4 linked regions of the Macaca mulatta genome follow. The protein of the gene in region 1 binds, or shares a complex with, the protein of each later gene. Links are inferred from orthologs where the notes say so. Each region holds a gene or a part of one and is shown in the gene's direction. Other genes may lie near its edges. The genes, in order: NMT1, NCS1, HPCA and AIFM3.

Region 1 (6,813 bases):
GCTCTGGGTGGAGAGGGGCTTTCTCCTTCCGGAAAAGTGAACCAGCCCATAGTCTTCAGATTTCCTGGACTTTCTATTTCTGTTATCTGCAGCAGGATTTTATTTTAGTTTAACTTTCTCAGTTCCTCTGAGCCTGTGCCTGGACTAGCTTCTCTGCCATCTGTTGAAAGGCTCAGAGAACACCTATTCCCTGTAATTTTAGCCTAAGTAAAGCTTAAATAGAATGATGGATCCACTTAGTGAACCTTCACACACATGGCAGCGTGTTCCAAAGCCCTGCGCAGATGCACTCGAGGGTCTGTGGCACCCCTCTGCCAGGCCAGGTGAGGGGTGACCTGAGCTTGTGAGGGAAGCCCTGATTTCTAATCCCAATTTCCCTACCCAGATTTGGCACTGAAGGACTGGGCAGCTTTAAAGTGAGCTGCTTTTCTCTTCTGGGTCTCAGTTTTCCTAGTTTCCCAAAGAAACAAATGCTCCAACTGTGGCTGGCTTCAGGTAGGGAGTCTTTTTTTTTTTTGAGACAGGGTCGGTCTCTGTTGCCCAGGCTGGAGTGCAGTGGCAGTCACAGCTCACTGCAGCCTTGACCTCCCAGACTCAAGTGATTCTCCCACCTCAGCCTCCCAAGTAGCTGGGACTACAGGCGTTCGCCACCATGCCCAGCTAATTTTTGTTTCTATAGAAACGGGGTTTTGCTGCTGGGCACGGTGGCTCACGCCTGTAATCCCAGCACTTTGGGATGCTGAGGTGGGCAGATCACAAGGTCAGGAGAGCGAGACCATCCTGGCTAACACGGTGAAACTCCATCTCTAGTAAAAATACAAAAAATTAGCCGGTCATGGGGTGGCAGGCGCCTGTAGTCCCAGCTACTCAGGAGGCTGAGGCAGGAGAATGGCATGAACCGAGGTGGTGGAGCTTGTAGTGAGCCGAGAACGCACCACTGCACTCCAGCCTAGGCGACAGAGCGGGATTCCATCTCAAAACAAAAGAAAACAAAGAAACAGGGTTTTGCCATATTGCCCAGGCTCATCTGAACTCCTGGGCTCAAGTGATCCACCTACCTCCAGCCTCTCAAAGTGCTGGGATTCCAGGTGTGAGCCACCTTGCCCATCCCAGTAGGGATTCTTAAAATCCCTTCTCCGGCCGGGCGGTGGCTCACGCCTGGAATCCCAGTACTTTGGGAGGCTGAGGCGGGCAGATCATGAGGTCAAGAGATTCACTGCCAACATGGTGAAACCCTGTCTCTACTAAAAACAAAAATTAGCTGGGTGTGGTACGTGCCTGTAGTCCCAGCTACTTGAGAGGCTGAGGCAGGAGAATCACTTGAACCTGGGAGGCAGAGGTTGCAGTGAGCCGAGATCGCACCACTGCACTCCAGCCCAGCGACAGAGCAAGACTCCGTCTCAAAAAAAAAAAAAAAGAGGAAAATCCCTTCTTTTTCCTCGAAGTGCTTCTGGTTGGCCATCAGTCCACACAGTTACTGAGTTCCTGCTGACGTGAGGGCTGCCTGCCTGGACTTCTCAGCCTCTAAACAGGATTGATCACTCTGAAATCAGGCTAATCCACCAACGGATTGAGGTCATTAGTGTCCCATCTTGAGAGGCTGCTGCAGTACCGTCAGACACTGCCAAAAGCACAGGTTTGGGGGACTGTGGTATGTGTCTTCTGCCTTCTGTTCTCATGACAAATCTGCCCTGCGTTCTAGGCCGGTGGGCAGGCGGGCAGAGAGCATTCTTAGAGTGCTGCGGCAGCCAGAAGACTGCCTCACCCATATCGGGGTGGAAACCCCAGCATGGCTGTGTTTTCAGTCCAGGATTTGAGGTATCATTATGGGAGCTGCCATGTAGAATGAGGTCAGTGAGTGTTCCCTAGAGAGACGAGGATTTAGCAAGGAATTTTAGAGGCTGGAGGTTCTAGAACTGAAGTTTTAAAAGCAGTTCTTGCACTGGGAAGCATTGTGTCAGGCACTGACTGAGGCCTGTAAACTGTGACACCACCCTGTTTGCAGATTGCCCCAAGCCCACCTTTGTGTATCTGAGCCTCTGGGGATGTTCTACCAGCCCGGTATTTGCACCACAGCATCATATGGTTTCATTCCACTGAAGCATTTTTCTAGCAAAAGCAGCTGCCAGGTGGGACGCTGACTGGGGATGAAATCCTGGGAGTATGCTGCTTTTCTTCTGCATTTAACTTGCAGCCATGGCTCTCTGGGAAGTACTGGTGTAACAGTGTCTGGGCGGGCAGACCCTGGCTAGGCCCTGGGGTCTGTGAAGTGCTCTAAGTCTAGCAGAGAGCGAGCAGTGAGTATGGGATGGCATCAGTCACAGTTCAGTAAGAAAGAAGCCTGTGAGGACCGCTGGGCTGCATGGGCAGAAGGTACAGCTAGAAAGGCCACCCTGGCCCAAGGGTAGAAAGTCTTGTGCTCTGGGGCGGGGAGTTTGAAACAAGGGTGGAGCATGAAGGGTTGTGTTTTCTTAGGAAGTCAGTCTGGGGCCATGTGGATGATTGATTGATGCAGCAGCCTGAGTCCTCCTGGACTAGGAGGGAAAGGGCCAGAAGATATGGAAGAGGCAGGCCCTGTGCCTGAGGAGAGATGCACGGGGGTGCAGGGAGCCTCCAAATGACCAGGGATTCTCTCTTGAGGGCCTGATCTATCCTCACCATGGATAGACCCAGGGTGATCAGCTCATCTCACTCCATCTCTTCTGTCTTGCTTCCAGACTCCCAAGACAGCTGGGCTGCGACCAATGGAAACAAAGGACATTCCAGTAGTGCACCAGCTCCTCACCAGGTACTTGAAGCAATTTCACCTTACGCCCGTCATGAGCCAGGAGGAGGTGGAGCACTGGTTCTACCCCCAGGAGAATATCATCGACACTTTCGTGGTGGAGGTGAGTCAGGGAGTGGTGTTCCAGGCCTCTAATGCGTTCCCAGAGAGGCATCCCCCTGAGTGGCCGGGTTCCCAGGGCTTGAGTGTTGGCACCCTAGACTTCCTTGACCATCCGTGTTTGGTCCTCCCTAAAAACAAGGAGTTGGTGCTTGAATTTGCTGAAAAGATATCTTTGGATCTGGCTTGAGCCCTTCTCCCCCTCTGCCCCACTTTGATAACACAGAATAGAGAGAACTGAGCCCCCCTTAATCCTTCAGGAAAGCCTGCAATTCCCTGCCTGTCCCAACTTAACCCAGTGCTGACCAGACGTAGGAGACACAGTCTAGGGGGGATGTGAACTGCAAGAAGAGGTCCCTGGTGGTGCCCCTGCTGGGAAAGAGGTTTGGCAGTTTCAGTCTACGATCACGGCTCTGTCCTCAAGTGCCCTGAGCCAACATCCCTCCTCCTCCCCACATGTCCTGTTGCAGTTTCCACCTGTTTATCTAGAGGGGCAGAGCTGCCTGAAGGCAGAGCAAAAGAAAACATTTTGTTCCTGGGCCACAGTGCCACTGTACATGCTTGACATTGCCTCTTTATTGCCTTCCCTTCAGAACTCAAACGGAGAGGTGACGGATTTCCTGAGCTTTTATACGCTGCCCTCCACCATCATGAACCATCCAACCCACAAGAGTCTCAAAGCTGCTTATTCTTTCTACAATGTTCACACCCAGACCCCTCTTCTAGACCTCATGAGCGACGCCCTTGTCCTCGCCAAAATGGTGAGGAGCAGACCAGGGGCTCTCTGGAGATGTGCGGGGAAGGGGCAGTGGAGCCATGGTGAGCACAGCTCCCGGGACGCAGCCTCCCATGGGCTGGGAGGCTCCGAGTCCTCCTCACCTCCTGTTCTGCTTAGGCAGGGTTCCTGCAGTTTTTAGCCAGAAACTCAAAACTCGGAAGGAGCAAGGAGCATCCGAAGTGAAGGCATTGAACTCCTCCTGATTCATTTCAGTGAGTTTCATTCTCACAGGAGGCACCACCAAGGAGCCTGAATAGCCAGGCCTGCCCTGGGAGGACACGGGTTCTCCTCACAGCTTTCCCAGCGTGGGAAAGGGGTGATTCTCTCTGTCGTGGTGAGTCATCGGAGTGTCTGACTGCCAGCAGCGGCTGGAGAGCCCGTCGGTCAGTGCTTCGCTGTGGCTTCTGGTGACCTCCTGCACCCAGCCCAGCCTGCTGTGGGCAAGCTGGTCCCTGCCCTGTGAGAGCTTCTGCTCCAGTTGGTGAGGTTTAGGAAGCATCTTCACAGTCTCCAAGCGACACAGCAGGTGTCACATAACATGAGGTGCACTGAGGGCCTGAGAGTTGGAGTATACATGGAGTAAGGAAGCAACACAAACCCCAGGTAGCTGATGGGAGCCAGCTTCTCAGAGGAAGGGGCTCAGGGCTTGGACTCCAGAGAGGACTGTGGAAATGACTAGAGTTTCAGGGAGGCATAACCAGGAATAGCAAGAGCCCCAGTCTGGACACTGAGTACCTATGTGTATACTCAGAGGGAGACTGGGCAGAGGCCAGGCTGGAGGGGGCGTCCAGAGTGTCCTGAGAACCGCCTGGAGAGCGGGGAGTAATGCAGAAGCAGCAGAGCTTCTGAGGGAACCTTGTTCTTGTGGCTGCCCACAGGACAGCTTTGAAATGGCAGCAAAGGGTTAGGAAGGAGGCCATCCCCACCTGTCCTCACCTGTTCTTGTTTCTCCCTGCTGCTTTGCAGAAAGGGTTTGATGTGTTCAATGCACTGGATCTCATGGAGAACAAAACCTTCCTGGAGAAGCTCAAGTTTGGCATAGGGGACGGCAACCTGCAGTATTACCTTTACAATTGGAAATGCCCCAGCATGGGGGCAGAGAAGGTGGGCACCATGCAGCCAGAGTCCAGGCTGCCCAACCCAGGGAATCAGTGTCTCCAGCAGAAACCGGGCCATGGGTTGGGGAGACAGCTGCAGTCTGGGTCCTTGTTACCTGGAGTTGAGCCTTTGAAAATGCCCTCCCTCCCATCCTGGCTAACACTGTGAAACCCCTTCTCTACTACAAAAAAAAATTAGCCAGGCGTGGTGGCAGGCACCTGTAGTCCCAGCTACTCGGGAGGCTGAGGCAGGAGAATGGCGTTAACCCGGGAGGCGGAGCTTGCAGTGAGCCGAGATCGCGCCACTTCACTCCAGCCTGGGCGACAGAGCGAGACTCCGTCTGAAAAAAAAAAAAAAAAAGAAAGAAAGAAAAGAAAATGCCCTCCCTCTGCCCTCTGCTGGCCAGACCAGCAGGTCAGCGTTCCCCTCTCAGCAACTGGTGTGAGGATGGCAGAGGGGACAGAGCCACACAGGAGCAGGAAGGCCTTCCCACCTGAGGGAACCGTGGAAGTTGAGTTGCCCACAGTTTGCCAGGAGGGTAGGGCTGCGGGGTCTCTGAGGAGGTTTCCTCTCCCGAGCTGCTGCCCTCTTCCTGGCATGACACTTTCTTAGCCCTTCCTCCCCCAGCGCCACAGGGGACATGGGGGTGAGCTGGAGCGTGGACCAGTTTTCCCTGGGAGGTCTGATGGACATGTGAACCCTGGTGTGGAGGTTGAGCACGGGGCCAGCTGGGTGTGAGTCTGCTCCCACAGCACAAGCGGTGGACCCCGGGCCCAGCCAGTCGGAACTTCGGGGATGGGGGGTGTGGGAGAGTCTTTGGACCACTGTCGACTCAGCTCTGCCTCTCCCTGTTGGCTCTCCTAGGTTGGACTGGTGTTACAATAACCAGTCACCACTGAGATTCTGGATAAAGCCACTGAAAATTCGAACCAGGAAATGGAACCCCACCACTGTTGGTCCAATTTTCACACACGTGAGAATCCCTGGCAAAGGGAGCAGAACTGAACCGGCTTTACCAAACCGCCAGCGAACTTGACAATTGTATTGCGATGGCGTGGGCTGCGTGACGTCACCTCCGGTCGTGTCTCTGGTCTCCGTGTTTTCCAGTTAATTACATCTTCATGCAGCCGTGATCAAGGGAATGTAACTGCTGAAAACTAGCTCGTGATTGGCATATAATGGAGTTAACGGGTGAATAATAAAAGTATATATATATATTATATATATATAAATATTTTAAATATCTTTCATGTTCCAAATGTGCAAGGATGTTTGGTCTTTAATGAAAAGCTGAATCCAGATCATTCCTCAGAATGAGGACCCGAGGACAGTGGCAGACAGACGCGTTGGCACAGTCATGGTTTCCTCCAGAGGAGACATTGACTTATCTTGGGGAAAAAGAGGATCTGGAGAACCGCATCCAGCTCCCCTTCTGAATCAGCTGGGATGACTGGCTTTGAGAAGGAAGGGAAGGTGGAACAGGCTCAGATCTCACTGGATGGCACATGGAGCTCTTGGCTGGGGCTGACGCTGGGCAGGGACTTTCCTGCAGGGCCAGACCTGCCTGCATTTTGAGACACAGCAATGGGACGGTCCGCAGCAGCAGACCTCATTGATCGAGTCCCTTCTTCCATCCCCTTGACCTGCTCCCTATAGGAAGTCATCCTGCCAACTGATTCAAAAGGGCTCTTTAGCCAGCTGTTGCCAACCTTATAGGGATGAGTCCCCTGTGAGATTTTGCTTTTCCACTGCCTGGGATGACTGGCAGTTTGAAGAGGCCCTTGGACCTCCTTGTAGCATCAGGGACCTTTGGAGACCATATCAGTGTAAGCCCTGCTTAGCTCATCTTAGAGCAAAGAGCCAGCACCCTGATGTCCCCAGGGTGGCTGGGCAGGAGTGGCATGGGGCCAATACCCAGACCCCTTCAGCCACCAGCCCCTGGCCTGTGCCTTCCAACCCATTAGCCATTTCTTGTTGTGCCCCTTTCCAAGATACAGCCTGCAAGTGGCAGCAAGAAGTGGTGATTAGAGGCAGATCTGGACTTGGCAACAGA
Region 2 (7,336 bases), on another chromosome or scaffold:
CAGGGTCTCATCACCTAGGGTGGAGTGCAATGGTGCAAACAGGGCTTCCTTCAGCCTCCACCTCCTAGGCTCAAGCAATCCTCCTGCCTCAGCCTCCCGAGTAGCTGAGACTACAGGCATGTGCCACCATGCACAGTTAATTTTTTTTTTTTTGTATTTTTTGTAGGAACGGGGTTTTGCCATGTTGTCCAGGCTGGTCTTGAACTCCTGAGCTCGAACCATCCACCTGCCTTGTCCTCCCAAAGTGCTGCGATTACAGGTATAAGCCACCATGCCTGGCCCTTCCTTCCTTCCTCTGTTCTCTTTTCTCAGGTGTGTGTGTGTGACAGAGAGAGAGTCAGGGTCTCTCTCTGTCACCCAGGCTGGAATGCAGTGGCACAATGATGCTCACTGCAGCCTGGACCTGCTGGGTTCAAGCGATCCTTCCACCTCAGCCACCCGAGTAACAGGGACTTAGGTATGTGTCACCAAGCCCAGCTAACATTTAACATTTTTTGTAGAGATGAGGTCTCCCTATGTTACCCAGGCTGGTCTTGAACTCCTGAGCTCAAGTAATCCTTCCACCTCAGCCTCTCAAAGTGCTGGGATTACCGGCATGAGCCACTGCACCCAGCCTGAGCACCTGGGTTTCTGTAGGGCTTTAACTACTACCGCTGTCATCCAGCCAGGCCCTGGTCCCTGCGCTGGCTCTCCCTCCTCCCAAGCAGGATGCTCAGCACAGTCTGGTCAACTCTGAGCCGCCCACTATGGGCCCCTCACTGCTGTCCACTCTGAATTGGTCCTCAAGGTTGGGACATTCTGCTCCCAAGTCTACACAAGTTCCCTCCAACTGTGCCCACCTCCTCTGCAGAATGAGCTCCCCAAGCCAGCAAGTCCATCCTCATCTGAAGACTTCCTGGGGCCCAGGGCTCAGCCTGGGCAGGGGCTTCAGGAGAAAGCAGGAGTGGATGGAGTATGCTTAGAGGCAAGAGAGAGATTTGGGAGCTGGAAGGCACTCGGCCCTGCTCAGGGTTCCTCTGAGCTTTCCGGGCCCTCCGAGGTTAGAACACTGTGGAAAGAAAGAAGAAAAAGAGACCCCACTCCTGCCTCATCCCTGCTGGCCCCGGGGGGAGGGCTGCCTCATCCTCCCTGCTCTTTCCTCTACCCCAGGGCCCCAGCACCGCGTGTCATTCCTTCCTCCATCCTTCACTCACTCACAGAGATTTGCTGGGTAACTACCACACCTCAGGCGGTCTTGTAGGTTATGGAGACGCCTCTGCCCTCTGGGAGGGTGTTCTCCCATGGAAGAGACAAACAGGAGGCAGAAAACATAGGTGACGTTTGTGACGGATGCGAAGGAGAGAAACTAAAGCTGGAAAGGAGGATGGGAGAGGTCTCAAGAGGTGGTGATACGTTGGATGAGGTGGCCCGGGAAGGCCGTGCTGGACTTACCCTCTGGACCACCCCCCAACGCTAACCCACGGGCCTCTGTCCATTCAGGTGGAGCCTGTCACTCCAGCCTTGGCTCAGAGAAACAGCTCCGAGCAGCTCTGACCTGTCACTCCAGCAGCTCTGACCCATCACTCTGCTGAAGTCCCTTCATGGGCGCTGGTGGGCAGGGGCCCAGCTCCTCGGCGAGGGGCCTTTCCGGGCCTGCCCCGTGGGCCCTGCCCTTCTCCCAGGCCCCCTGTGCCCGCATTGGTGCGCAAGCCCATAAGCCGGGGAGCTGTCCCTCGGGCGTGCAGGCCTCCCCGCCTCTCCAGGTTGCCTGGGCCAGAACGCTTCTCCATCCCCCCTCCCTTCCTGACCCTGGGCTTGGAGGTCACCTGCCCCAGGCCGAGAGTAGGTGCCCCCACCGCTACCTGCGGCACCCTGCACAGCCCTGCCCGCCCTGCGAGAGCTGAGGCGCTCCTGTCCCGTGGGCCGCCGTGTCCTCGGCACCCCATGAATCCGTGTGGAATGAATGAATGTCTCCGGGCCGGGACTTGGCCTCATCCACATCCAATCTTCCGGGCCCTCCCGCCGCGGCGGGGGCCGGAGCGCCAGGGCTGGATTCGGGGAGGGGGTGGCTGCCCCTCCCTGGGGCCGCGTTGAGCTGAGGGGACGCCCCTCCGGCGGGCTGGCGGGGCCGGGGTCCCGCTGGCGGAGGCCGCGGCCAGGTGGGTGCGGGGCGGGAGGTGGCGCCGGGCGCTGAGTGGCGGCTCCGGGTCCACCCCTGGCGCGCGGGTGCGGGCGGGAGGCGGGAGGCGGGAGGCGGGGAGCGCAGGGGCGGCGGCTGGCGGGAGGCAGCAGCGAGCATGTGCCGCGGAGCCCAGTAACCAGGGACGACCGCGGCCACACCGCGCCGGCGCCGGCGCCCAGCCCAGGCAGCCCCGCGCCGCGGCGCCCGGACCGCCCGGGCCTGCCCAGCGGCCGCCCCACGCCCCGAGCGCCCCGGCGCCGACAGCCGCGCAGCGCAGCGCGGGCGCCGCAGACAAAGGCGCGGCCCCGGCCCGGCCCGCCCGGCCCAGCCGCTCCCGCTGGGCGCCCCAACCGGGTCCGGCCCGGGGGGGCGGGGGCCGCGGCCGCCGAGGATGGGGAAATCCAACAGCAAGTTGAAGCCCGAAGTTGTGGAGGAGCTGACCAGGAAGACCTACTGTGAGTGCTCCGGGTCCCTGGCCCGTGCCCCGCGCCTCCCGGTCACCCCCACGCCCGCCGCCCCCGCCCCCCGGACCCGCGCGCTACCCGCTCCGCGCCGCCGCCTCCGCTCGGTCCTCCCAGCCCGGCCTCCGCCGTGGGCCTCTCGGAGGCTCCCGGGCCGCGCCCCTGCCCCCCGCCCGGCCCCATTGTTCTGGCACCCCCAGCCCGGGGAGTGCGCGCCGGTCGGCGTGCGCGGCGCCACCCCCAGGTCCGGAGGGGCAACCCCAGCCTCCTGGCGGCCCCCTCTCCGCAGAGCTGTCCCAACAGGCAGGGGCTGTTGTGAGGGCGGGGCGGTGGTCCCGGGAGGGGGCGCCCGGCTGCGCGGAGCCGACTGGCACTAGTGCGCGGGGCTGGTGATTCATGCATCACGATGCCGCCGCCGCTGCTGCTGCGAGATTGGCCTGTCGCCCCCTCCCTGGCCCCGTTCGTGTGTGGGGGGTGGCGAGACTTGGCACAGCGCCTGTCGAGCGGTGACGGCGGCGAAGGGTCCCCGGCACCCTGTGGGTTGCAGCACTTACAGGCTGGATTCTCCCTGGCTCCATCTCTGTCTGCCAGACCGGGAAATGGGTTTCTACAGCCCGGGCGATCTGGGCCGTGTGTGATCATTAGCTGTCGCGGGCTGCCCGGAGGAGGAGGGCCTGTCCTTTCTGGACGTCTCCAGATCAGTCTCAGTGTGTCTCCCTCCACTTGCCCAACTTCACAACTCTGCAGTCCCCTTGCAGCCCCAATTTCTCCATATCAGGCTTCCCCCTTCCCTGCAGCATCTCCGGAGGTGCCCTGGCATACCAGGGGTTAATGGCAATGGGTCCAGACCACCCAGGGGATGCTGAGAGGGAAGGCTTCCGCATCGGGGCCTGGAAGGACCTCTGCCTGGGTGTTTGACTTGGAAGGGGACAGTGGCTCTGGGCTTGGGTTGGAATTCAGAACCCATCCCCGGGCAGCTGCGTGGGCCCAGGCCCTCTGCACCACCCCTGGAGGCAGCAGCTTGACCGCCAGCCCCATGTGTTGATGGAGGCTGGGGAGGCAGCTCCTGGTGGTGCATTGCACAACCTCTGCTCCCCGCTTCCCCCCAACTCCATCGGTCTTCTGGGCACGTTTGCAGGTCTGTCCAAGCCCACGCTTCAGCTCCATGCCCCTCACCCCTCGTGCTTGGAACAAAGGGGGCTTTCCAGAACGGGTGCTAGTCTGCTGCGAGGTGCTGGCCCTTCTCCTGTGGAATGCTGCAGCATGGAGCTCACATCCCAGGAGCTGCTACCTGGAAGGGGTGAAGCCCCTGGGCACAGGGGCTGCTGTCACCCTCTCTCCAAGGTGGGCAGGTGGGTGGCCCATTCCAGTCTGGCTGCTGTTTTGTGATATTCGCTGGGGCCTCCTTCAAGCTAAGTCCAGATGTGGCCCACAGCTGCCAGCAGGTGGACTTCCTGGGTCCCTGTGCCGGGGGAGAGTGAGGACACAGTGGGCGTCATCGGGAGTGGTGGGCATGGGCTGCATGGGATGCCTCCATCGTGGTGGGACAGGGGAGTGAAGCCAGGTTTCCTGCTCATGGAGCATGTCACTTGCCAAGCTCTTGGCATCGTTAGCACCTCGACTCCGCCACAACTGCTCTACCAGGCTGGGTGCTGCTGCGATCTCTATTTACAGATGGGGAAACTAAGGCTCAGAGGGGCAAAGTGGCATTCCCATGATCCCACAGCTAGTGACCAGACAGTGCCAGGACTCAAATTCCGGTCTGTCCTGCTCCAAGGCTAGTGAGAGACCTCAGAGCTCATGCCAAGAGCTCTTCTGGGCCAGGCACAGTGGCTCACGCCTGTAATCCCAGCACTTTGGGAGGCTGAGGCGGGTGGACCAGCCTGAACAACAAGGGGAAACCCCTGACTCTACTAAAAATACACAATTAGCTGGGCATGGTGGCGCATGCCTGTAATCCCAGCTACTCGGGAGGCTGAGGCAGGAGAATCACTTGAACCCGGGAGGCGGAGGTTGTGGTGAGGCGAGATTGCTCCAAGAGGGAACCTCCATCTCCAAAAAAAAAAAAAAAAAAGCTCTTCTGGATGTGTCTTTTTCTGGCTTTTGTTAGAAGCCCATGATGGTGGATTCTAAATGAGAAGGGCCTGGGGTGATCATTCTGTCCGGCCCCCTCCTCTGGGCAGATCTGTCAACTTTGAGAGAAGTTGAGTCAACAAAGCTTTGTTAGGAACTGGCCCTTGTGGTGCTAGGCTGGGCTATTTTTAAAGGCCTTCGGAGACGTGGAACAGTTTTGGGCAGGGAGAGAGTTGGCCTGGGGACTTTTCCTCTGTAGAAGCCCTTATTAGGGGTGGGCTGTTGGAGGTGGCGGTGGGTTCGTTGGCCTCCGGTCTGCCTCCTGCGCTGACGTCAGCTCCCTGGTGCAGGCCCTTGTGTGTGGAGCTCACAGCTGTGTTCTCCCCGTTTGTTGGGCTTTAGTAGGTCCACAGAATGAAAAGTCTCCCAACACAGCAAGCAGAGAAAGCCTCCAGCTTGTTCTCCGGCCCCAGATGGGCTTCCTTCTAATGGGGAGTGGAGCCATCTGCTCTTTGTTCTGGGGGATTCTGTGTATGAGGTCAAGAGAAGCGCCCCAGGAAGGACTCTCAAATGTCAGAATTTCCTGGTTGATTAATAAACATGAAGGTACCTGGGCTGTCCTCCCAGATTTCCGATTCTTTGGGTCTGGCTGGGGCCCAGGAATTTGCATCCTTGATGCGTGTTTGTGTTGCAAACTGTGGTCCTGGGGAGCCCCGATTGAAGACCACAGTTCTGGTGTATGCTGGGGGTCCTAGCCCACCTCGTGCATAGCTGGCCACAGTGCCGGGGGGCCTAGAGGGGAGCCATGGGTCCACGTCCGAGTCGGTGCTCAGCGGTGTCCTTGGTGGGCGTCTCTGACTCTGTCTGTGGTGGTCTGTGTGTGTGAGGAAGCAGGAGTGTCTAAAGGCCCCAACAGTGTGGCCCTCACTGGACACACTGGGATTCCACCTGGCTCAAATCGTAACCCAAACCCTAACCCAATCCTCAGCCTTCCACCAGCAATAGGTTAGGGAGAGGTGGACGGGGGTCACCCTGCAGCCAAGACAGACAGTGGCAGTCAGCATTGTGGGCGGCCCACTTCCTCTGAGGTCTGGCCCACTCTCTTCCAATCTGCTGATGAGGCTGTTGGCATCCCTGTGTGTCCTGGCTGTGGGATGGGCCGGTCCCCTCACCTACCTGAGCCTCAGTTTCCTCATCTGCAAAATAGATGTGCTCATGGTACCTGAACTGAGAGGATGTGAGAAGTCAACGGGGTCATGTGCAGCGTGGGACCTGATATGTGGCGTGGGGTATGTGGTCAGTAAATGCCAGTAAATGCCAGTGATCGTATTAATGCTTATTTGTTGTTGTTTTGGAGACAGGGTCTGGCTGTGTTGACCTGACTGGAGTGCAATGGTGCAATCATGGCTCACTTAAACCTTGACCTCCTGGGCCCAAGCAATCCTCCTGCCTCAGTCTCCCCAGTAGCTGGGACCACGGCCATGATATTTATACCACACCTGGCTAATTAAAAATTTTCTTTTTGTAGAGTTAGGGTCTTGCCCTGTTGCCTGGGCTGGCTCAAACTCTTGGCCTCAAGCAATCCTCCTGCCTTGGCCAGCCAAAGTTCTGAGATCACAGGCCTGAGCCTCTGCACCCGGCCTTAATATATATCATTTTGACCGTACAATACAGCTTCCTTTTGAACTGGGCTTATGTGTATTTTGTGGGCAAATTTCTTCTCTCCACAGAGGAATCTTCCTACGACCCTGTTTTTTTGTGCCTGGCACGCAGAAGATGACATCTAGGACTGCTGGGCCCGAATCCCAGCAGGGGCCTGCTCTTACATGTAGCGGCCTCCCCAGCCCCACTTGTGAATTGTGAAGCCGCCCTGGCCTGTTGATTTAGTGCTCACTGTGTGCCAGGCGTGGAGGCAGAGGAGTGGACGAGAGACATAGAATCCCTGGCCTCAGGAGGAAAGCAGCTGGGTTATCTGAAAACTCGGGCATGGGGGTGTAAGCCATTTGTGGTGGTCTGAGCTGCATCCCCTTAAAGACTTCTAAGGCCGCTGCAGGCCCAAGCCAGCCAGGCCCAAGAGACAGAACCTCTACCCTCCCCCCCTTCTCCTTCTCCTTCTCCCCATGATGTTTGCCGGCACTTCCCAGGGACCCTCGGTCTGGGACTCAGGGGTGGCCAGCTCCTCCCTGTTCCTCTTGGTCAGCCTAGGCTCTGCCTTGACCTTGCCTGTTAACCTTGACTCTCTTCTGCCTTTTCCCTGATGCCCAGAATGGTGCCGGGCACACAGGAGCCTGTGGAGGGCAGGAGCCCGCGGCTGACGCCTCTTGACCCCGAGCAGAGGATGGGTCCCTGGCTCCAGGTTGGGGTCAGCAGTTGGGCTCTTGGGTGTCTCTGGCTGTGGACTGTCCTGGGGCCCATGAGGGTCCCTTCCTCTAGGGTGAGGAATATTCTCCGATCATCACCCCCCACCCGACTCTGCTCAACTAGGGTGGGGCAAGCTGCTGCCTTCGGGAGGCCGTCACTGGAGCCCATCTTGGGACAGGGCTGGGAGTTGTGTGATGGCTGTGTGGGGACACAGAGGGCCCACAGCCAGGCACAGGGTGAGCCACAAGGAGAGGAAAGGACCGACACGAGCGCTTCTGCA
Region 3 (7,286 bases), on another chromosome or scaffold:
GGGAGGGGCTCCGGGTGAGCGCTGCGGGGCGTCTCCCTCGCAGTCCCGCCCGCCCCTCCGGCCGCCCCTGCCGCGCGCGCCGCAGCAGCGCCGCCTTCCCTGCGCAGTCGGTGTCTCCGCGTCGCTGGGTGAGTGGGGGCAGCTCCAGCCGGGGCCAGGGGATGAGGGCAGGGGGTTCCCGGAGCCGGGGGCCCACGTCCAGGGCTTCCCAACACCGCCGCTCCCGGGCTTCCCGGGAATCCTTGTCCCGGGGTGGCGGGGGGCGCAGGGGACCGGGGAGCGCGTGGTGCTCTCCAGGGTCCTGAACGCCGAGTGGCCAGCCCCGAGGAGCCGCGTTCGACCGCCCGGGAGCGCCCCCTCCAGGAGGGGCCACGCGCCGGGCGCTGTCCTAGTGCTGAGCGGATGGAGGCGGGGGCTGGGGGCCAGAGCTGAGGGAGGTTTGGAGCTGGTCCCCGGGGCTGGCTTCTCAGGTCGAGCTGAGGGGGGTCTTCCCATATGGGAGACTTGAGGTCTTTGCGGACAGCTGAATCTTCTTCCAACCGGGGGGGGGCAACTCCGAGAGTGGCAGGGCGGAGGGGGCACTGGAGGAGCTCTCCTGCTCTGCGCATCTCTCTGCCCCCACCCCGGTGACCCAGTTCCTTGGACCTTGAGGAGGGCAGTGAGGGACATGCCCCAGCCCTTCTCATTTCCTCAGCCCTTTCCCACTCGCTTGTCTGGTGGGTCCTTAGCCTGGGCCATAGAGGCTGGTCTAGAAAGGAGGGGGACCAACTTACAGAAACATGCATGTGACACACCGCCTAGGACACACACAGGTCCTCCAAATGACCACACGGGCTCATTCCCTCACGCTGTGACGGGTGCATACCTGATCACATGCACATCTGAGGCACATGCAGGGACATAGATGGAAAGACACGGCAGGCGAATGCAATACAAAAACCAGCGGCACACATTATGCATGAGCATATGCACTCATAACACACCCATTCACATGTGTGCAGAGCTTCATGCACATGTATGCACAAATAATCCCCTCCTTGCCCCAAGTGGGTGGGGGTCACCTGCACACACCCCTACATTCCTGTGCAGAACTGGCTGGCTGTTTCCTCTTCATTGCCTTCTACTCAGTCTCCACAATCTAACCTGCACTCAGGGGGCCTTTCAGGACTAGATGAAAGGTAAGTGTTGGGGAGGCTTGGATGGGCTTGGGGGGGGTCTCCTTGGAAAAGGGGCCCCCAGCAGGTCTGGGAAGGTTTGCAGTTCCCTCTCCTGGGACCTGGCAGCACCCCTGGGAAAACTGAAGGAAAACAAAGAAAAATGGCAAGGGTGCCTGAAGGTCCCACGTGCAGCTGGCCATGTGAGAGGTGTCGGCATGCGAGTTGGCGTGTGATGGCATGTGTGAGACATGTGGGGTCGTGGGCTGGTGTGTCTTGATGCACAGGGTATGGGAGTTGTGCGTGGTGCCATGTGTCGATTCGTGTGAGTTGCGGAGCAGAGGGAATGTCGTCATGTGTGGAGGCATGCTGACCCATGGGTGGGCGTGGGCTGGTACGTGAGTGGCATGGGATCCAGGGTGTGGATCTGGTGAGCTATGAAGCATATAGTTATCGGTATATGTTTGTTTGCACAGTTTTTGCATGAGTTTTGTGGCACCTGGGTATATGTAAGTCATTTTTATTTATTTAACACTTATCTAGCACTTATCTGTGCAGCCATGGTTCTAAGTGCTTCCCACTTATTAACTAATTTAATCCCCACAACTATCCTCTTAGGTAAGTACTGTTATTACCCCACTTTAAAGATGAGGCAGAGAGAGTTTAAGGAACTTGCCCAAGGTCACGTAGCTGGTAAGAGGAGGAGCTGGGATTCAAACCTAGGTGATCTGACTCTGGAGCCCACAGTAACACCTCCCTCTGCTGCCTCTTGTTGGGCACACCTGTCAGAGGGAGAACAGGGCAGTGTCTGGGCTGCGGATATGTTTTGTGCTGAACAGGCACATATGAGGCAATGAGAAGGCAGTGGGTAGGACGGAGGAGGATCAGAAGGTTTTTCTGCACCTCTGTGGGCAACTCTAGGAGTCAGCCTCATCATGCCATGGCTGTGTGACCTGAAGCAGCCACCTCACATCTGTAAGTCTGCCTTCTCATCTGTAAAATGGGGAAAGTCCCCGTACCACCTGTCGTGAGGGTGAAATGGTGTGCATTTGTGAAGGCTTAGTGGCTGGCACCGAGAAGGGCCTCAGTAAATGTGAACCCCCCCTTCCCTTCCTCCCTCTCCCAGGAAAGTGTATGATCCAGGGAGATGGTGTGGAGCATGGCACAGATACAGGATGCCTGGGTCTAGACTGTGTGACCTTGGGCCAGTTCCTCTCTTTCCCTGGGTCAAACGAGAGGTGGGGATGGCTGTCGGCAGGGGGAGCCATCTGGAGCAGTGTCTAGTATCCAGGAGGGCCTGATCACTCCTCTCTGCCCTTGACCCCCTTGGGGACCCAGGTGGGACTTGGCTCGGCGGCCATGGGCAAGCAGAACAGCAAGCTGCGGCCCGAGATGTTGCAGGACCTGCGGGAGAACACGGAGTTCTCAGAGCTGGAGCTGCAGGAGTGGTACAAGGGCTTCCTCAAGGACTGCCCCACAGGAATCCTCAACGTGGACGAGTTCAAGAAGATCTACGCCAACTTCTTTCCCTATGGTGACGCCTCCAAGTTTGCCGAGCACGTCTTCCGCACCTTTGACACCAACAGCGATGGCACCATAGACTTTCGGGAGTTCATCATTGCGCTGAGCGTGACCTCACGCGGCCGCCTGGAGCAGAAGCTCATGTGGGCCTTCAGCATGTATGACCTGGACGGCAATGGCTACATCAGCCGGGAGGAGATGCTGGAGATCGTGCAGGTGGGCCCCTGGGCCCCTCAGAATGCCAGGCACAGGGCCCGGCAGCTTGCACCCACCACCCCTTTTGATCCTCTCAGCAGGCCTTGTAGGCAAGTGGTGGCAGGGGCTATTCTTGCAATCCCATTTAAAAAATTGTTTATTAGAAAATATTTCCCATTTAAAGAAAAGTTGAGAAAACTCCCCTATACCCTCTACCCAGATTCGCCAATTAACATTTTGCCACAGTTGCTTCATCATTATCTGTGTGCGTGTGCATGTGTGCACACTAGTGTGTAACATTTCTTGTTGTTCTGAACATTGGCCCTTTACCCCGGATACATTAGGATATATTTCCTAAAAATAAGGACATTCTCTTACATAACCCATAATATGATTACCAAAGCCAGGATATTTAACATAGAAACAATGCTATTATCTAATCTACCAACCATATTCCAATTTTGCCAACTGTCTCCATAATGTTCTTTATAGCATTTTTGGCCCTGACCTGGGGTCATGCATTGCATCTAGTTCTCATGTCTCTTTAGCCCCCTTTAATCTGGAACAGCTCCTCATCCTTTCTTTATGAGTTGACATTTCTGCAGAGCACAGTCCAGTTATGTCTAATTGATCTTCATTTACACCAAAGGAAACAGATGCTCAGAGAGATAAAGGCACTTGCTTGAGGCCACACAGCCTGTGTGAGAGGGCCATCTGGCACTACTGTCCACATTCCATCTGGATACCCAGCTATCTTCTAATTGATTGAGGGCCCACTATGAGCTTAGCATTGAGTGAGGTGCTTATGAGCTCAGTGCATGCTTACAACAACCCCATGAGGCTCGGAGAGGTGAAGTGATATACCCAAAGTCACCCAGCAAATAAGTGGAGACAAGCTCTGGCTGGCCACTACTCAGAGCTGTCTACTGAGAGGGCTCTGGACTCATAGCCAGGAGGTCTAGCTTCCAATTCTGGACGTGGCCTTCACTCTTAGGCTGCTCATCTGTATGGTGATACTGACTTCACAAGGACATTTAAGGACCAGATATAAAAGCCCTTTGTTAGTACAAGTTTAAGTGTGCTACATGTTAGCTTTATTTCAGAAACCTCCCAGAGCACCCATCCCCTCAGACCAGCCTTGAAGATGGCCAGGGCTCTGGTTCTATTTTACCAGTCCACTTCCTTGCCTGCCTTTTTCCTAAGCCTTTATGGGTTTTTTCACCTGTAAAGTGCGGGTGTTAAGCCCCTGCCTCACAAGGCTATTGCAGGGATAGAGTGAGATAAGGACTCGAGCGGAGGGCTTGGCATATAATTGGTACTTGGTAGACATTAGCAATTGTCTGTTATTATTTTCTCCTCTGTACATCCTCTGCTCTAGCCAGAAGGGCCTTTTCAGCATCTTTGAAATGTGCCCTGACTAATCCTGTCACGCAGCTTTGCACAAGCTCTAGCCCCCTTTCCTTCTGCATCTCTGAATCCTTTCCCTTCTGGTTCCTCAGCTCCATAGACTGCTGCCCCAGCCACTGCTGGACTCTTGACTTTGGCTTCTCCTTTTGCTAAGGTCTGGGCCTGCTCTCTAGGTGGAGATGTGATGCCCTCCCCATACCTATGGCTAGAAGGGGGAAAGCCTTAATGTTTGCCATGGACTCCTGTGGGTCAGACATTTGACTCTTTAGTTGCTCGATGGTAGGGGGATCTGGGGGTTCTGAGGGTAGGGTCAGGTGGCCAGGATGGTGAAGGATCACCCAGACATGGACAGCAGCTGGGTATTGACCAATCTGGAGGGACATTTGCATTTTACCACTTAGTGTGTTGCACTGGTATGTACTGGTAAACCCCAGTCCTGCTGGAGTACCATGCCCAGGGCATCAGTCAAGCTAGACCCATTCCCTGGGCATCCTCAGGACCCCTTTCTGGTGGCTTCTGCTATCCAGGCCCTGGCTTCTTTTCTGGCGGCCCAGTGGCCCCAGATGGTTGGTACCCACAGAGCTCTGCAAGCCCCAGTACCTGATTAATGACAAGTCGGCTCCCATGAAACCATGAGTGAGCAGCAATTCCAGACAATTAGTTAGCAGGCCCAGGAGAAGGCTGTCACAGAGGTAGTGGTCACTGGCCCAGTTCTTCTCAAGACACAGCCCTGTGCCAGCTAGTGGACACACTGGAGAGGAAGAGACTGCGCCTCTTGGGGCTCCCACTCTGGTGGGGGAGACAGATGTGTAGGTCACACTGACAAGCTCAGTGACAGGGGTTTAAAGGTGTCATCTGGGAGCCAGAGGACTGAGTGGCAGGGAAGACTTGAGGATGTAGAGGATGAATAATGACTGTAATATAAGCTATTTACTGACCACCCACTCTAGCCAGCCACAGTTCCTCACACATAATCTCATTTAATCTGAGGAAACTGAGGCTAACAGAAAAGTATGTGTCCAAGGCTACATAGTTAGTGAGTAGTGGAACCAGGACGCCACTCCAGGTCCATCTAACTTTAGAAGCTTGAAACTACCAGACCCCTCTATTCATGTGCTCATCAGACAGGTACTGATATCCGGTCACAACTGTGGCTACCATTCATTGAGCAGTTACTACAGACTGGGTCTAATGCTACAGGCCCTGCTGACTGTCACCACCCCACACTGCCCAAGCATCCCTCCAGCAGCTAAGAGGGAACAGGTACAAATTGAGTCTCCGCCATCAATTTCCTTTCTGAGCCACAGTTTCTTATCTGGAAAACAGGGATCATGATACCTGTTTTTCAGGGCTTGTGCGAGGTTTAGAAATAGTGCGTGTAAAGTGCCTGGCACAGAGCAGGTCTCTGATAAGTGGTAGTTAGTATTGTTATTCCAGGCAAAGACTGTAAATGCTGCAGAATCTGAAGGGTCAGGGGTGTTTGGCTCTTGGCAGGATCACCCAGCCAGGGGAGGCCTGATGGAGGAGGGTCAGCAGTGGACAGATTGTAAAGCATCTTAAATCCCAAAGGCCAAATGGTTTGAACTTGGAACAGAGGGCAGTGGGAAATGCCAATGGCTTTTAAATAGGGAAGTCCCTGCCTGGTGCCAGGTTCTGGGGATATGGACATTAGCTAGACGTCCACGTTTGCAGGAACATCCCTGCAAAGACATAATTTCTTCTGGAGAGATGTTTGCAAAGGAAAAGTCCACCGGGCTCTGGGCCCATATGCACCCTGACCTAGCCTGGGTTGGAGAAGACCTCGCTAAGAAAACAGCTTGTAAACTGAGTCCCAAGGAGGAGTGGGAGGCAGCAGAAGGAGCTGGGTGCAAGGCGAGCCTAAGGGGAGCCCTGTGTGTGACGGGAGTGAGGGGGTGGTGTGCGGGCTGGGGACGTAACAGTGGAGATCTGTGTTTGGAAAGAGCTTTCAGAGGCAGCATAGGGGACAGACCCGAGGGACAGGCTGGAAGAGACCAGTGCGGAGGCTGAAGCTGGATCTGAGACAGCAGAAGTTTATGGGATGGGAGAAGGGAGGCTTCTTGGAGGAAGTGTCGGTCGGGTAAAGCTGGAAGATTGGGGAGACAGGTTCGGTCCTTGAGCTCCGGGGCACTGTGACCCAGGCTACAGGCCAAGCCCTACGTGCGTGCTCTGTACATTTAGCGCAAGAACTCTCTTTCATGTCACCTCGGGAGCTACTGCACGTGGCGGCTGCCGCCCTCTGCCCAGCCCAGCCAAGCCTGGCGGTCCCTGCCTGCTGCAGATGCATATTTGCATTCATTTGCATACTGTTCCCCGCCCCTCTGGCCCTCCAGCCCGCGCCGCGCCCCCTGCCGGCCGCAGACCGCCCGGCAGCGCAGTGACGCCCCCTTGGCCCGGCGCCCCCTTTCGACCACCGAGCGCCGGCCGCCCTGGGCCCGGGTGCCAGCCCGGTACTTACCACCGACTCGCGTCCCGGGCACGCGCTCGTAAGCCCGCCGCTCCAGGCCCTCCACTGTAGGGCCCCGGTGTCCTCCAACATCTCTCCTGACCCCCTACGCCCCCAAATTCCCGGCGCCCGCTCGGAGCTTTCACCTGCGGCGTCTTTGCGCCTTTCCCACCCAGCTCTCCAAGGGAGCGCGGCAGGGCCCGCCCGATAGCCCCCTCTTCTGGGAAGCCTTCCCAGACACGCCTTCCCGAAGCCCCCGGCTCCCCACGCCTCCGTAATTCCCCACTCCACCTTGCCCAGGCGGGGGCAGCAAACGTCAGCGAGCCCGGGGGCGCCTCTGAATCTTGCGGGTGGGGGCTCGGGCAGCCTCCTCTCACTCCCCACCTCCCCTCCCGCCCCCAGGCCATTTACAAGATGGTTTCGTCCGTGATGAAGATGCCGGAGGACGAGTCGACCCCGGAAAAGAGGACTGAGAAAATCTTCCGCCAAATGGACACAAACAACGACGGTGAGGGGCAGGGGCGGGACGGGGTGGACGGGGTGGA
Region 4 (7,388 bases), on another chromosome or scaffold:
GATTCTCCTGCCTCAGCCTCCTGAGTAGCTGGTATTACAGGTGTGCGCCACCACACCCAGCTAATTTTTGTATTTTTAGTAGAGATAGGGTGTCACCTTGTTGGCCAGGCTGGTCTCGAACACCTGACCTCAAGTAATCTGCCCACAAAATACTGGGATTACAGGTGTGAGCCACTGCAGCGGCCTTTTTTTTTTCTTTTTTTGAGTCAGGGTCTCACTTTGTTGCCCAGGCTGGATGTAGTGGCAGAATCATGGCTCACTGCAGCCTTGACTGCCCGGGCCTAAGCCATCCTCCCACCTCAGCCTCCCAAGTGGCTGGGACTACAGACTTGCACCACCACACCAAGCTAAAGTGTTGTTTTGTTTTTTTGTAGAGACAGTTTTGCCTTGTTGCCCAGACAGCGATCCTCCTGCTTCAGCTCCCCAAAGTGCTGGGATTACAGGCGTGAGCTGCCACACCCAGTCACTTTCTTACCTAAAATACCTGCACACCCTGCTTGGAGACTCTAGGGTGAGGGGAGTGGGGAATAGGAGAATCTGACAGTAGAGGATAAATGTAAGGAGGAGAGGGACAAGCTTGCTGTGTGGTGGGATGCTCCAGGGCTGGGGGTGCCTAGGGATCTACCTCTCTCCCAGGCTGTGGAATTATCCTCCCCACACTCACTGCTTCTCTAACCTTGGCTATCTCCTCCTGCCTTTGGGGTGTCTAATGGGCCTGAGGGACCTCCCAGCTGCTCTAGGTCATCTCACTGCAGCCATGTGCCCCATTTGGTACTGTCAAAGCTGCTGGAATATTATCGCCTTTCCAGAACCATCCTTGGGGCAAGATCAGGACCTCAGGCTGCCAGGGGCTCAGAGCCCTGCTGGGTCTTCCTGGGGCCCCTGGTCCACACACATCTCCCCTAAGCCTTACGGCCCTTCGAGAGGCAGCACTTCTAGCCTGCCATTGGTTTTAGCTTTTGCCCTATGAAGATCTTGTGATTTCTGCCCCAGCATGAGGCAGCAGGAACCTCAAGCACAGTGCCTGGGGCCAAGAGAGTCACAATGGACTTGCCCCAGGTCAGGCCTGCACTTGCCTTGTGTCAGGGTATCTCCCCAGGTTGCTGGCCTCCTCAACCCCCACACTGACCTGTTTCCCCAGCTTTCTCTCTGGCACCCCAAACTCAGCAGCCCCGACCCCACTTCCCGAGCACCCCCTGTGACTGGTTCTGCACCTGTCATGGTGTCCTGGCAGCAGTCTGGGAGAGTATTTCAGTTACCCCCGGGATCCTGGGGAGGCTGGAGCAGAGGGGTCCACTCACTGATTGCCACGGTCACAGAATAAGACTTGAATTGTGCACTGGAGGCCCTGCGGCCTTGCATGAGCCTGGTAGGCCTCTCCCCTCCTGCTTCCAACCCTCCACCTGGGAGGCCAGCCTGCCCAGGGCTGCTCTGCCACTTAGCAGCTGTGTGGCCCTGGAGAGTCCCTAACCTCACCGGACCTCAGTTTCTCTGCTTGTGAAATGGAGATAATACAAAGAGAACCTTCCTTCTCAGGCTGTTGTGATGGGTAAGGAAATAAATGCATGCAAAATCACAGCCGTAGTTATTATGAGGCACACTGTCTTCCTGGCTGCAGGAGATTCTGAGGGTGGGTGGGGGGTGGGGCAGCCAGATCACCACGTGCATGAAATGGGGGCAGGCTGGTTGGAGATGGAGGGCACCAGGCCCAAGCACTGCCATCTGCCCAGTGATGGGACTCTCCTATGGCAGTGGCAACGGTCCCACTGTGGAAGCGACACATGAGCTGAGAGGACTTTCCTGAACTGAGCCACATGTGCCCTTCGGGCCTGGGCACCCCACCACCTGCTCCCAGTGTGACCCATGCAGGGCCTGTTCCTGACCCTGAGCAAGACCAAGACTTCCTGGGCTGCGTTCCCTATCTGTAAAATTGTAGGAGGGTGGTGGGGTTGGGGGGCTCGAACTTGCCCCCTAGTGGGGTGGGGCACAAATAGTCCCAGAGGATGGCCTGGGAAGACCGGCTGGGCCTGGCACAGGGGACTATTACTGCTGTCATTATTGTCCTCCTTACAGGAGAGGAGAGTAAGGCCCAGACAGGGGAGGAACCCACACAGCCTCTGTGCTCTAGCCTGCTGGAAGGACAAAGTCTACCTACAAATGCAGAGATCCACACATTAAAGACAATGAAACACCCAAGTGTTAGGAACCAGAATAATCAGCCCTAATAGAGGGGAGGCTGGTCAGGGAGGGCTTCCTGGAGGAGGAGGCACAACACCAGGATGCACTGTGATTTCTGGAGACCCAAGGAGTTCTGGTAAATGACAGGTGAGAAAAAGAAAAATGTAATAAAATATAATTGAAAATAGACCCTGGTACGTGTGGAGAGAGGGCCGGGAGGAACCTAGGACACAGGTGAACCTGAACTCCCCCACCCAGTGAAGGGAGCTGTGGGCAGTAAGGTTTGATTGGGGTTTTCTTTTTTTCTTTTTTTTTTTCTTGAGACGGAGTCTTGCTCTGTCACCCAGGCTGGAGTGCAGTGGCCGGATCTCAGCTCACTGCAAGCTCCGCCTCCCAGGTTCACGCCATTCTCCAGCCTCAGCCTCCCGAGTAGCTGGGACTACAGGCGCCCGCCACCTCGCCCGGCTAGTTTTTTTTTGTATTTCTTAATAGAGACGGGGTTTCACCGTGTTAGCCAGGATGGTCTCGATCTCCTGACCTCGTGATCCGCCCGTCTCGGCCTCCCAAAGTACTGGGATTACAGGCTTGAGCCACCGCGCCCGGCCTGATTGGGGTTTTCTTTCTTGTGGAGGTTTCTCAGAGTGATTCAAGTTCCCCCACCCCGCCCACAGTGGTTCTGAGACTTTGGAAAGAAAGAAAAGTAAAAAAGAAGCAGACCCTGCCCGCGCCCCAGCTGGGCATCCCTGGGAGGTCGCGAGGATCCCCGGAGACCCAGACCCGGGTCCGGGGCGCCCCCTGCCAGAGCGGCCCCCGGCTGCCTCCCCACGCTCCGCGACTCCGGTCCGGACGCCGAGGGCCTCGGCCTGCTCTATGTCCCCCACCGCCCACCACCTGCTCCGGCCCGGCGGGGCGGTGCTGGGCGCCGCGGGCTCCCCGGCCGCAGTGCAGCCGCAGCGCCAGCCCCGCCCCGCCCGCGCCTCCCCGCCCCCCCGCGCCCGCGGCCCCAAGCGGTTCCCGAGTCCAGGCCCGCGCCGAGCCCAGGTGAGCGCCCGCCCCGGGGACCCCGGTCCCCGGAACCCCGGTCCCCGCCCGCCGCCCTGCCTCTTCGCCCCGGCGCCGGGGGCCAGCGCTTGTGCTCGCAGGTCTCGGACCCGGGCCCGGCACGTTAGGGGTTGGGGGTCGGCAAGCGTGGCTACAGGCACTGCCCGGGGGCCAGAGCACACCTCGTCCTTCTCTCGTCCCACAACCGCCCCTTCCCTGCTCGCCGCGGCTTCCCACTGTGTGCCAATCCCCCTTCCCGGGCTGCAAGGTCTGGCGGGGCACCGGGATGGAGCCGGCGAGGCTGCTGGCACCGGCCACCGGCTTCCCAGAGCGAGGGAACTGCACGTGCAGAGGCGAGGAGAGTGGACAGAGGCTTGCGCCTGAGCTCCGTGGGGGAGGGGAGAGCGCGGAGCCCCCACACTCCAAGGCAGGACTGGAATCAGATGCCACCCCTAGGACGCCTGGAAGCCACTGGGAGCCCGATCTGGGCAGGAGCCCTTGGGATGAGGCAGTGGGGGCGGGTGGGCAAGAGGTGGAGGAGTGGGGAGAGGACCCTGCCCAGCCTGCACACGGGGCGGGCGCCAGGAACCCCGGGAGGGTCAGGTGGAGCAGTGGCCGCTCAGTGAGATGGGGGTAATCCAGTCCCGCTTCACAGGTCCTGGGGTCCCTGGGACAGACAGACTCCTGCAGAGTCCAGTTAGCACTGGACTGTGCTAGAACTTTTCTGCAGTGGGCAGCTCATGGGCAAGGAACAGCACTCTGGCATTCTGCACAAACCTGGGGGGCCCTACTGCCCTGCCCCTAGCAAGGACCTTTGCCTTTGAGTGGGGTGACTGGGCTCCAAGCCGATCTAGCACACAGTAGGCCGAAGGCACAGGGGCCCCACCCAGTCTTCTTCCTGGCCCAGGCCCTGGGGGATTCAGGGCCCTGGGTGCTCCGGAAGGGACAGCACAGCCTGGGCAGGTCCCCAGTGGCAAGACCAGGTCTGACCTTTTCTGGGATCTGTGGCCTAGCAGGTGAGGCCTGAGGTCAGCCAGGAAGGAAGTGGGCAGGGCTGAGCTAGGGCTGAAGCCAGGACCCGGGGAGGGGCTGCCTAGTGCCCAGGGAGGGGGCAGGTGGGGCAGGTGGCTGTTGAGTTTTACAGACCTTCCTTGGTGACAAGTGGGGGAAAGAGCCAAGGCACACCCCAGTGGCTGTGGGAGTCACCGGCTCCTCCCCTGTAATGGGCACCTTGAGGGCCGACAGGTGCAGGGGCCAGGCACCAATGGTCTCTCTCCAACCTGGGCTTTTGTTTGCACCCCTCGCTCTCAGGCACCCACGCACAGCCCTTCTGGGATCTGGGCCAGACCAGGTGGGCCTTAGCCCCACCTCAAGTGAGACTTCAGGAAGAAGTTCCAGAGGAAACCGGAGGATGACAGTGGGATGGACTGTGGGGAGGTCATTTGCAAACAAGGCAGCTATGCCTGTGCCCTGGGCCTTCCAAAGTCCTACCTGTAGGCTGCATCTTCCAGAAGGCCTGCCCTGTAGCCTGGAAGGCACCTGGGCTACAGTGAGCTCTCTGCTGTGCAGGTGTCCCTCCCCCAGGGCACCTTGCAGGGCCTTAGGGTGATATGGGGGCTTTCTGGGCCCCTGCCCATCTTAAAACTGATGGAGGTGGGAGGGTGGGGTAGGAGGCCACAGGGATACCCCTGCTGCTTGACCTTGATGAGACCTTGGCCCCTTGCTTTCCCCATCTGCTGTTGGGCAAGACCCCAGCACCACAGGCCTAGTGGGCATTTGCGAAGGGCTGGAGTCGGGGGTAGGGGGAGCTTATGGCTGCTGGGCACAGGCATGGCAGGGCTGTGTGCCCGGCTTCTCTTTCCCCTAACCCCATCAGGGCCAGGCTGGCCGCCCACTTCTGTTCACCACAGAGCTGGGTTTCCCTGGGGACCAGTGGACTGGCCCAGCCCCACACCACCCCCCAGCCCCTCCTGGCCACAGCTTGAGCTGGGAGGAGGGTGGAGGCTGGGCCGCCTCCTGGACCCCTGCCCTCCCTGCCCGGCCTTCCAAGGCCCGGCAGCCTCAGTCCACTGCTGGGCCTGGAACACGGAGCAGTGGCTGCCCTGAGAGGAGGTGGGTGTCCAGAGTACTAGCCAGGGTAGGGCTGGGCTAGAGGGAGCCTGATGACACCCGCATTGTAGGAGGGAGAAGACCAAGGATGAGGAGGGCTTTGGCTTGCCCAAGGTGACCCACTCTTTACGCTTAGGCATGGTGGTCTCCCGGTACAATGGAGGGTCCAAGAACTCTCAGGCTGTGGGATTTGGAGAGGGGAAGGGGGGCATGAGGAGGCAGCAGAAATCAGGGAGGATTTCTTGGGCAAGGCAGCTGTGGGGCTGGACCAAGGGTGGCCGAGGTTGGGGCGAGGAACTCCACTGGAGGAGTGAGAGAGCTGAGCTTGGAGGGCTTCAAAGGGGAGGTGTCCTCCAGGGCCCCACGCTCTGGGATCAGGCTCACCTACACGCCATGGTTCCCAACTCAAATGTAAGACTCTCTGAAGCTCCCACCATCTCTCTCTCTCTCTCTGTGTGTCTCTACCTCTGCCCACACGCCCCGGTCATGACGGCCCCAGTCTCCCCTGCAGGTCCTAGAGCAGCTCCAGCAGGATGGCATCTCCAGCATCTCTAAGGCCTTCAGGGGGTCCAGCCCCATGGGGGGCGCCCTAGGCCTCCGACAGCTCCCCATCTGTGCTCCTGCCTGCCGGCCATCTTCAGGCCACTCGCCATGGGTGGCTGTTTCTCCAAGCCCAAACCAGGTACCTCCTGTCTTCTTGCCTCCATCCTTCCTCCTCCCTCCCCACCTCTTCCTCCCCCCTCTTCCCCCCGCCCTCCCCCTCTGCACTCGGCAAGCCTCCGAAGTAGGTCAGGCTAGGCAGGAGCCTGCTCGGAATGTTAATACGCTGCAGCCAGGAGGGGGTAGGGGGCCTGGAGCAGTTCCCCAGCTGGCCCCTCCTCCACTGGGTGCCCCTTTTTCTTTGGGGCTTTGAGTGTTGGTGGTGGGAATAAGAGCAGGACCCTTCTTGGAAAAGGAAAAGCTGGTTCCTCCTGTTGCAGGGTTGGGGAAGGGGCTATGCCCCCAGGGCCAGGGAAGTGGGGGGACTGGAGACAACCTCAGCCACTCTATGACCTAGGGCATGCAAGTTACCCCTCTGAGCCTCTGTTTTTCTCTCTGCAAAAGAGAGGGCCTGGCCACTCTGACCTCTTAGAGTTGCTGTGAGGGTGTAGTGAGCAGATCCTGGCTCTCTTCGCCTCCTCTGATCCCCTGTGTGGTCTCGGGCTGCCTTCTTGGCCTTTCTGGGCACACTTCCCCATTTATACAGGAAATCACCACCCAACCTAGCCTGAGCTACTCTGGCCAGAAGTGATAGTGTCCTGGGGTGCTGGGAGAGGCCTGCGTCTTTTCTCCACTAAAGACTCATGTCTGCAGAGCTCTCCCTCTGGCCCCCCACTTTCCCTCTTCTCTCCTCACAACACCCAGGGAGGCAGGAGTGTGCAGCTCTGTCACAGATGGAGAAAATTAGGCTTAGAGAGACCTCAAGAGCCCAGCCAGTGCTCCACTCACCCCGCCAGGCCACCCTGCCCCAGCCAGCTCACCCCAGCTCCCCTTACCTGATACCCATCGGCTCCGTTACCTTGGAACTTGTGAGCCTTTTCTCCCTTTCCTGGGTCTAAGGGGGAACTTAGGGGAGAGAGGAGAACTGTAGTGACTCACCAGACAGAGGGACCCACCTGCCTCTGCTCCAGGGAGCCACTCTTCCTCCCCCAACTCCTGTGCTGTGGACACCCAGGCCTGGGCTGGATCCCTCCCTGCCTCAAAATGTGCCTTGGGCAGATGATGTCCATTGTCTCCCCCTAGAAGTGGGTGGGATGATGCCAGCTGGCCTCATACCAGGCGTCTGTGGCACTGCTGGGCTGGCAGGAGGCCCTGGCAGAAGATGCCACCTGCAGGTTCTTTTAAAGGACCCCAAAGGGCTGGCCTGCCTGGGACCCGTGGCCCAGTGTGGGGGGTGGCCGCTCTCACCAAAGGCAGTGCTAAGAATTTAGGCAAATCCAGCCCTGCCCTTTCCCGGCTGTGAGGCCTTCAGCATCTGAGCCTCTGCATCCTCATTGTAAAGTGGGGCTGTTGTGCCTAGC

What was found.
Region 2: the proteins of NMT1 (region 1) and NCS1 are in contact, whole or in part, in a crystal structure (PDB 5O9S), measured with the Homo sapiens proteins. The link is inferred for Macaca mulatta from reciprocal best matches to the Homo sapiens genes NMT1 and NCS1. Residues at the interface, in NP_066565.1 of Homo sapiens: Tyr180, Val181, Glu182, Asp183, Asp184, Asp185, Met187, Phe188, Arg189, Phe190, Tyr192, Asn246, Thr282, Ala283, Gly284, Arg295, Tyr296, His298, Ser300, Lys310, Phe311, Ser312, Tyr401, Leu403, Ser405, Tyr420, Gly468, Ile469, Gly470, Asp471; in NP_055101.2 of Homo sapiens: Gly2, Lys3, Ser4, Asn5, Ser6, Lys7, Leu8, Lys9.
Region 3: the proteins of NMT1 (region 1) and HPCA are in contact, whole or in part, in a crystal structure (PDB 7OWM), measured with the Homo sapiens proteins. The link is inferred for Macaca mulatta from reciprocal best matches to the Homo sapiens genes NMT1 and HPCA. Residues at the interface, in NP_066565.1 of Homo sapiens: Tyr180, Val181, Glu182, Asp183, Asp184, Asp185, Met187, Phe188, Arg189, Phe190, Tyr192, Ile245, Asn246, Phe247, Thr282, Ala283, Gly284, Tyr296, His298, Ser300, Lys310, Phe311, Ser312, His313, Tyr401, Leu403, Ser405, Tyr420, Gly468, Ile469; in NP_002134.2 of Homo sapiens: Gly2, Lys3, Gln4, Asn5, Ser6, Lys7, Leu8, Arg9.
Region 4: the proteins of NMT1 (region 1) and AIFM3 are in contact, whole or in part, in a crystal structure (PDB 6SJZ), measured with the Homo sapiens proteins. The link is inferred for Macaca mulatta from reciprocal best matches to the Homo sapiens genes NMT1 and AIFM3. Residues at the interface, in NP_066565.1 of Homo sapiens: Tyr180, Val181, Glu182, Asp183, Asp184, Asp185, Phe188, Arg189, Phe190, Asn246, Thr282, Ala283, Gly284, Tyr296, His298, Phe311, Tyr401, Ser405, Ile469, Gly470, Asp471, Asn473, Leu474, Leu495, Gln496; in NP_001373743.1 of Homo sapiens: Gly2, Cys4, Phe5, Ser6, Lys7, Pro8.

The regions. Positions count from the first base shown.
Region 1 is NC_133421.1:69,471,793-69,478,605, forward strand, and holds the end of NMT1 (glycylpeptide N-tetradecanoyltransferase 1), read left to right. Parts: intron 1-2,717; coding exon 2,718-2,888; intron 2,889-3,477; coding exon 3,478-3,645; intron 3,646-4,628; coding exon 4,629-4,766; intron 4,767-5,624; coding exon 5,625-5,645; 3' UTR 5,646-5,980; downstream 5,981-6,813.
Region 2 is NC_133420.1:17,426,252-17,433,587, reverse strand, and holds the start of NCS1 (neuronal calcium sensor 1), read left to right. Parts: upstream 1-2,292; 5' UTR 2,293-2,552; coding exon 2,553-2,616; intron 2,617-7,336. UniProt on the Homo sapiens protein: Neuronal calcium sensor, regulator of G protein-coupled receptor phosphorylation in a calcium dependent manner. Directly regulates GRK1 (RHOK), but not GRK2 to GRK5. Can substitute for calmodulin. Stimulates PI4KB kinase activity.
Region 3 is NC_133406.1:207,960,219-207,967,504, reverse strand, and holds the start of HPCA (neuron-specific calcium-binding protein hippocalcin), read left to right. Parts: upstream 1-2,507; 5' UTR 2,508-2,513; coding exon 2,514-2,891; intron 2,892-7,143; coding exon 7,144-7,249; intron 7,250-7,286. UniProt on the Homo sapiens protein: Calcium-binding protein that may play a role in the regulation of voltage-dependent calcium channels. May also play a role in cyclic-nucleotide-mediated signaling through the regulation of adenylate and guanylate cyclases.
Region 4 is NC_133415.1:31,810,684-31,818,071, forward strand, and holds the start of AIFM3 (apoptosis-inducing factor 3), read left to right. Parts: upstream 1-2,983; 5' UTR 2,984-3,048; coding exon 3,049-3,219; intron 3,220-5,282; exon of another isoform or gene 5,283-5,331; intron 5,332-5,755; exon of another isoform or gene 5,756-5,839; coding exon 5,840-6,010; intron 6,011-7,388. Other genes in the region: uncharacterized protein LOC144331927, read left to right, coding at 2,074-2,225. UniProt on the Homo sapiens protein: Induces apoptosis through a caspase dependent pathway. Reduces mitochondrial membrane potential.